2 linked regions of the Ovis aries genome follow. Each later gene encodes a partner of the first gene's protein in a complex. Links are inferred from orthologs where the notes say so. Each region holds a gene or a part of one and is shown in the gene's direction. Other genes may lie near its edges.

Region 1 (3,814 bases):
GAAACACAGCAGCAAGACCTGGAGAAGATGTGCCAGTATTCCCAAGAGCTGGGGGTGCTGACGGAGCAACTCCATAGCCTGACCCTCTTCCTACAGACGAAACTAAAGGAGAAGGTGGGATACGGGGTTTCCTTCTCTTCCCTTACAGTCATATCTTCAAATAAAGACAGTTTTATTTCTTCCTTCCCTGTCTGTAAACCTTTTATTCCCTTTCTTACTGCATTAGCTAGAACTTCCCCCACAACGCTGAAAAGGATTCAAGTTGAGGAAGTTCCCCTCTAATCTTGGTTTACTGAGGGTTTTTCCAATTGTATCTTTATTGTATAGAATGGTCTTCCTAAAATACTGTTCCATTTCTGTGACCTTCAGTGACTTTCAGTTGCCTACAGGATATCTTCAGCCTGTTGTCTGTCTCCTTCTTTCCTATTATGAGCTCTTTACTCCCACTAGACTGCCTACACACTACACACACATCTCATTTCCATTCTTACCTGGATGCAGGCTGTTACCATGTTCATTCTCCTCTGTCTTCAAACTGGAAATGTCTTTTCCTTCCTATTAAAATCCTCTCTGGTTCACTTTCTTTGAAATGTTCCCAAACATCAGTGGACTCAGTGATCTCCTGCTGTATTTCTCATGAGCTTACTCTCCTTTTGCACTTGTATTAATTTTCCTTGGATGTTTGGTCTTTCTGCTAGACTGTGTTTATAGCAAGCAGAAGTTTAGCATTGCTTCTTTGGCTTCCCCACAGTGCACACTGCAGAGTAAATGGTGGATATCTTTCAGACTGCAGAGTTAATTAGCTTATTCAACAGTTAAGGGCAGAGCCAGAATCCTGAAATCAAATTGCTTATGAGCTGACCCCATTCCCCAGCGTGTGATAAGCACAGAAATCTAGTCTTGGGAAGACAGACAGATATAAATATGTCATTTTGACTTGTGATTGTGATAGAAGGTTGTATGGCCACAGAGAAAGGAGCATCAGCTTTAGTTTTGAGAGTTAGGATGTCGTCTCAGAGCAGGTGATTCTTGGGCAGAGTCTTGAGGTTAGAAGTTTGTAGAGCAGGGGTGGGTATACAGGAAGGCCCACCAGGCAGAAGGAACAGCATATGAAAGTCATAGAGGCATTAGGGGTACTTTTTGTAGTGTCTACCCTGTGACAAGGCCTGGGTCAGGTGCTGGGCTAACCAGGTGAACAAGGCCAAGGCTCTGCTCATATGGAATGTGGTGAGTTTGGGGCCTGGGAAGTAGCCCTTTATAAGTGGATTATAGAAGCTATGTGGGGCAGGGATGACAAGGGGAAGAGGCTGGAGAAGTAGGCAGGAGGCCAGATTTTTGAAGACTTGAACTAATAGCGATTATAGAAGGGATATGGAGGAGGGGATGGATTGAATGAATTCAATACATATTTAGGAAGTAAAGGTAATAGAGGGCTTCTCTGGTGGCTCAGCAGTAAAGAATCTGCTTACAATGCAGGAGATGTGGGTTAGATCTTGGGTTGGGAAGATCCCCTGGAGAAGGAAATAGGCAACCCACTCCTGTATTCTTACCTGGGAAATCCCATGGACAGTGGAGCCAGGAGGGCTACAGTCTGTGGGGTCATAAAAGAGTCGGACATGACTTAGTGATTACATAACAACAGAAGGTAATAGAATATGGTGACCAGTTTGATATAGGAGTAAGGTGAAAGAGTGACTGATGATCTTTTTTGCTGGAAAGATGGCAACACTCTATAGAACTGAGATTGGCAGACTTTTCCTGTAATGTGCAATGTGATAAATATTTTCAGTTTTGCGAGGTATGTGATCTCTGTCTCAGCTACTCAACTCTGCCTTTGTAGCTCAGAAGCAGCCATAGAGAGTATGTAAATACATGGATGTGGCAATGTTTCAATAAAACTTTATTTACAAAGACAGGTGGCAGGCCAGATTGAAACCACAGGCTGTAATTTGCTGCCTCCCTGCTCTAGGATCTTAAATACAAGTGGGGTGGGGCAGGAAAAATGGTTAGCTCAGCTTTATACATAGTAAATTTCAGGTGAACCGTGGAGCAATCTGGTAGATTTTTCACAGGCAGTTGAGCCTTTGGACCAGGAGATTGGGGAAAAGTCCAGTTGTAGAGAGACAGATTGAAGGGTCATCAGTGTAGAAGTGGATGCTTCTGTGGAGCTCCTGAGGTGAAGCCATGTGGGGAATGAATTAGAGTGTAAAGGGGATCAAGTATGAACCAGAAGGAGCCCACAGTTAAAGATAGACCTCCGCACAGAGAGAAGAAATAGCCAGAAAGGTATGAGTCCTACCTGTGAAGCAAAGTTATGTCACAAAAGCTAAGAAAATGAAATTTCCAATAGAACATGGTCATTGGTTATTACATAGGTCAGGTGAAATAAGATCTGAAAGGAGTCCACTGCATTTGAAAGTAAGGCTGCCCTTGGAGCACAAAATAATGAGGATGCCTTTGGTGTTCCAACAATGGTGGAATGGTGGGCAGAATCCTGTGTGTAGTGGCCCAGGGATTCCATAGATGGTGAGAATTTAAGGCAAGAAATGTAATCTTTTCTTTCTTTTATTTAAATTGAAGGGAAAGAGAAAAGGCAGTAGCTGAAAGGGTACTTAAGGTAAAAAGAAGGCTTTTTAAAAAAAAATTACTGTTCTAGTGAGAGAGAATTAAGTTCAGGGAGAGGAACTAATGGAAAAGTTGAAGATAGAGAAGAGAGGTGATAGAACAGCATTCCCACGGAGATGGCTAGTGAGTACCTGTAAGTTCAGGGAACTCAACTAACCCTGAAAAGCAGCTGACATTTTTTCTCCTTTGCCCTCAGGCTGAACCAGAGACCCTCCCGATAAGCACAGCCAGTGCTCTTTCCCAGGAACACCCTCCGCCCAGTGACAGCACCTTCTTGGGAAGTGCCCAGACAGCAGAGGCAGATGAAGGTTAAAGGCCCTGGAATTGAAGGGTGGGAAAGTTGGGACCCTGCTCCTGGTATCTTCAGCTGTTGAAGATGCTGCCAACAGACCCCTTCTCTCCCGGCTTCTGTGGTGGCAGATCCTTGACGGGGCCACCAGAGGGGCCCTCTGCCACAGTTGTTTTTTGTTTCAGACCCAGAATCCACTCCTGTGCCCTTGCTTGGAAGTGACAAGAGTGCTTTCACCAGAGTAGCATCAACAGTTTCCCTTGAGCCTACAGGTTAGGATGGGCTCCAGGGATCCTGCCTCATTTCTAGATCTGGTTGTGATGATAAAGGCTAAAGCAGTGAGAAGTGCTTTGCTCTAAAAACCTCAATTCAATTTGGGCTTATTTCAGTTCTGCCTTTGGGGGATCGGTAATGTTCCAGATATTCAAATCCTATGGGTGGGGAACATGGATAAGAGTGGAAGAAGTGATGGCTATGTACTCCTTCCTTCTGGAGCTAAAGGGCTTTGCCTCTTATCTAGTACTTTCTCTTTCAGAAAGCCCAGACATTGAGAAGAGCCTGGCAGAAATGGGTACTAAGACTCTGGAACTTCAGAGCCTGTGTTCCTTGTTGCAGGAGTCTAAAGAAGAGGCTGTCAGGACTCTGCAGCAAAAGATGTAAGTGGAGTGCAGTCTTAGTGAGAGAGGGCAGGTCATGTGAGCAGCCCCTTAATGTCAAGGGCCCAGCCAGCTCCTGGTGGGGGCAGGAATAATACTGAATTTTTCCCTCCCTTAGATGTGATCTGCAGGCTCAGCTGCAGGCCCAGGAAGAACAGCATCAGGAAGCCCAGAAGGCAAAGGAAGCGGACATAGAGAAGCTGAACCAGACCTTGTGCTTGCGCTACAAGGTGGAGGAGGGGCC
Region 2 (3,814 bases), on another chromosome or scaffold:
GAAGAGGGAAGACGACGAAAGAAGCTACTTTAGAGATGGTCTTTGAAACTGACATGTTCCGTTTAGGCAGTAAGCAGGTTTTGAATTTTTGCTAATATGCCAGATACTCTCCTAGATGCTGAGGTACAAAGACATCTGCAAAGCAGGAGGCCCCAGCCTCCGGAATCTAATGCCTGATGATCTGAGGTGGAGCTGATGTAATAATCATAGAAATAGAGTGCATGATAAATGTAATTAATGTACTTGAAGCATTCTGAAACCATCCCCACCCCACCCCTGGTCTGAGGAAAAATTGTCTTCCAGGAAACTGGTCCCTGGTGCCAAAAAGTTTGGGGACCACTGTCTTAGAGAACTAGTTAGTGAGCCAGTCTGGTCAAAACAACTAAGCAACAGCTGAAGCTTGAAACAGCTTGCATGTAGCTTAGGGGAGCAGGCAAAGTGCTTAAGAGCAGAATGAGATAGTTCCATTGAATTGCTGTATGAGGCAGGGTTCAGCTGTGTTTTGCCTTGCTGGCAGCCACACTGCCTCTTGTGATCTTTGCTTATATGAATCTCCACCCTCTGGCCATTCGGTTTGCTATATCGTCAAACTTCTGGCCACCCTCAAACACTGCACTGTCACATTTAAAGAATTTTGGTTTCTATTCCCAGTTGGTCTACAAGTCTTATTCTTCAGGATTTATAGAATTGGCAGCTGTTGGTCATGATATGTGAGGTTTCACCCGTTTGTTTTCCTTTGCAGATGCACAAACTCGAGCCACTTTTAAGAGCCAGTTACCTGTTAAGTCCAAAGAAGTTGATGTTTCCAGACCTCATTCAGGAGCTTCAGAGACTGATGTTACAAAAATCATCAAACCGAGACGAGAGAATGGGTGAGTCAGAACATCAGTATCCAAATAGAACTTCCTGTTAGAAATTGCTCAGTACCAAGAATTAGGGTTTTGCAGAGCACAAGGTGTCTGATGGATTGGCCTGTAGTCAGTGGCCCAGAGCATCACAGCATTGCTGAGCTGTTTTTCAGAACCCTCGGTATTGATAGCTCAGAAGAGGTGCAGCCAGGGTTATAATAGGTACTTTCTTCCTCTCTCAGCATTTGCTTTGCATGTGCAAATAGCAGCACTGCAGCCAAACCCCAGCCCTAAGTGGTAGTCGTGGCAGGTGGGTGCTAGTTGTGAGCCTGAGTTGCTAGTGTGAGCACAGGCCAGCCTGGCATAGTGTGTGTATCTTTCCCGAAGTGCTCAGCTCCCACTGAGTCAGATTGACATGAGGTAGCCACACCATTCTGAGCAGGAGCAGGTCTCTCAGGCTGTCAAACCGGTCAGGAAGGGAGCCCATTCCCTATTCATAAGCCTTTTTCAATAGTCTGGGCAGAAACAAAAGTGTGTGGTGCAGTTGAGATATAGTTGACATATAACATTGTGTTAGTTTCAGGTATACAACATAGTGATTTGATATTTGTGTATACTGTGAAATGATCACCACAGTAAGGCTAGTTAACATCCTGATTTGTTTTTGCTTCTCTAGGCAGCTGAAGGCTACAGACACCTCCAGGAGGAACCTCAGGAAGAGGTGAGCAGCAGGGTAAAGAAAACTTGGCCACCACTTTAGGGTAGTGGGCCTTAATACAGAGTAGGGCTCTGGTTGTACCTCAGAATCACTCATGGGACTTGTTTTACCATGTTGGAGTCTGGTGCCACCTCAGAAATTGGAATGGAGTTTTCAGGGGTGAGACACAGCCAGGCCTAAGACCCAATGTCAGGGCAAGAGTCGGTGATATGACAATCTTGAGCAACAGACAGGAGTTTGGGGGCTCCACGCCAGGACCACTGCTTAAACCCAGTGATAGCCCTTTAACAAGGGCAGGAAGCCTCAGGATGGGAGAAGCTGCATGTGTTAGTGATTTCAAAATGAGTATTCTACTGCTGGTGGTAAAATCTTGGAGAAAACTGCATCTTTCTATGCTTGAGGCTTGCTTGGCCATTTCAGTCCCGAAGGCAGAAATAATATAAGCTAGAAAGTTTGTAGAAATAGGTTGTAATTCCACATCTATTATTGAGCATGTCTTAAAAGTTCTAAAGACAAAATACTATTAAGACAGACTCAGAGAACTTTAAAAAGATTCAGTATTGATGATGATAATGGCGATTACTGACTAAAGTTTACTATGGGTCAGTAGCTCTGTCACAATTTGCATGTATATTCTCCTTTATCCTTCACAATAATAATAATATGAGGTGAGGGTATTAATTCTACAAATGAGGAAACAACCTGAGAGGCTACAGAGCTCCCTGAAGGTCGTATTCCACTATGTGATGAGGCCAGGATTTGAACCAGCCTGTTTGTGTAACTCCATAGCCCATACTCGTAACCCCTCCACCTCTTTATCTAAGTACAATTGTCATTACAGCTACAAACCATTGAGTAAACAGAAATCAGAAGAAGAGCTCAAGGATAAGAACCAGCTCTTAGAGGCTGTCAACAAGCAGTTGCACCAGAAATTGATTGAAACTCAGGTAAGAGACCCACCAGACCTCTGCCATCAGCTGCCCTGGTGAAGCACGTGGACTCCTGAGGGACCACACCAGGTGGTCCTGAGAGCAGCCAGAAAAGCCACTGGGCTTGTGCTGTGGCTGTTTGCAAGGAATGGGATGGGCCTGCCCTGTCTGCATGTTCACCCCAACAGGGAGAGCTGAAGGACCTGACTCAAAAAGTAGAGCTGCTGGAGAAGTTTCAGGACAACTGTTTGGCAATTTTAGAAAGCAAAGGCCTCAACCCAGGTAGGAACTGCCTTCAGAGGAGTCAGTGCCTGTGCCCTTTCCTGAGTGGTTCTGGGCTGTGTGGCAGGAGTTCAGCATGGTGTCAAGCCAACCTGGGCAGGGCAGGGGTTGCCTAGTAAAGCCCTGAAGATTTCAGGGAGCGCCTCTCTAGTCTCGGGTGATGTTGACTCTTCCTGCCCAAAAGTATTTCCGGTGTTGTGGAGAGAGGGTTATCTCTTTCTTACCTGAACACTTTATGCCATTCTTTTGATGCTGATCTTGCAAATAGATCAGAAATATCTTCTTTATTTCGAGGGATATGGCACACAAGGAATCTTCATGGGTGGAGAGAGAGAGAGGATACTGTTGAAAAGGTTCTGAAGCTGGCTAGTAATCTCTGAGTCATGATGTGATTCTTGTTCTTACCCTGTCCCTAGAGGGCTGCTGCTGCTGCTAAGCCACTTCAGTCGTGTCCAACTCTGTGCGACCCCATAGACAGCAGCCCATCAGGCTCCCCTGTCCCTGGGATTCTGGGCAGTCTGTAACAGAGGAAACAGTGGAAGGGATTACCCAGAGACTGTCAGAGAGCCTGAGTTGAGGAACTTGAGGATGCCCAGGGAAGGAGCCCCGGCTTCTTTGAATTAGAGTACTGATTTTGAATGCTGCCATTAAAATAGTGCATTTTAGGATATATTCGTTATAGTCACCACACACGTTTTTGCGTGATTTTAATTGCCTATGTGTATGCATTGTTTTTACAATAAAAATGTTGAAGGCCTATAGAGATTTTATAAATAGTTTTATGTACTGTAAACAGACCTAAAACCTATACATTTCTTTTGGACAAATTTTCTGCTGAGCTGAGGAGAAAGTTTTGGCCATATCCATACCTGGAGAGGAAGGAGAAGTAAAATCCAGCTCTGGAGAGCAGGCATGGGGGACCCTGCCAAGGTGAAAGCTCAGGAGAAAGTGTCCAGGCCCAGACCCTCAGAGAAGTTTCCCTCATGAATACTCCTGTGGAGGGCTTTTTATTTTAAGTTGTAGTTCCCTAGTCACGG

What was found.
Region 2: SPAG5 (region 1) and KNSTRN share a complex: the UniProt entries of both Homo sapiens proteins name them as parts of the astrin (SPAG5)-kinastrin (SKAP) complex. The link is inferred for Ovis aries from reciprocal best matches to the Homo sapiens genes SPAG5 and KNSTRN.

Annotation. Positions count from the first base shown.
Region 1 is NC_056064.1:19,981,538-19,985,351, reverse strand, and holds part of SPAG5 (sperm-associated antigen 5), read left to right. Parts: coding exon 1-114; intron 115-2,821; coding exon 2,822-2,933; intron 2,934-3,099; coding exon 3,100-3,186; intron 3,187-3,449; coding exon 3,450-3,570; intron 3,571-3,688; coding exon 3,689-3,800; intron 3,801-3,814. UniProt on the Homo sapiens protein: Essential component of the mitotic spindle required for normal chromosome segregation and progression into anaphase. Required for chromosome alignment, normal timing of sister chromatid segregation, and maintenance of spindle pole architecture.
Region 2 is NC_056060.1:34,208,891-34,212,704, forward strand, and holds part of KNSTRN (small kinetochore-associated protein), read left to right. Parts: intron 1-742; coding exon 743-872; intron 873-1,524; coding exon 1,525-1,569; intron 1,570-2,407; coding exon 2,408-2,513; intron 2,514-2,683; coding exon 2,684-2,777; intron 2,778-3,814. UniProt on the Homo sapiens protein: Essential component of the mitotic spindle required for faithful chromosome segregation and progression into anaphase.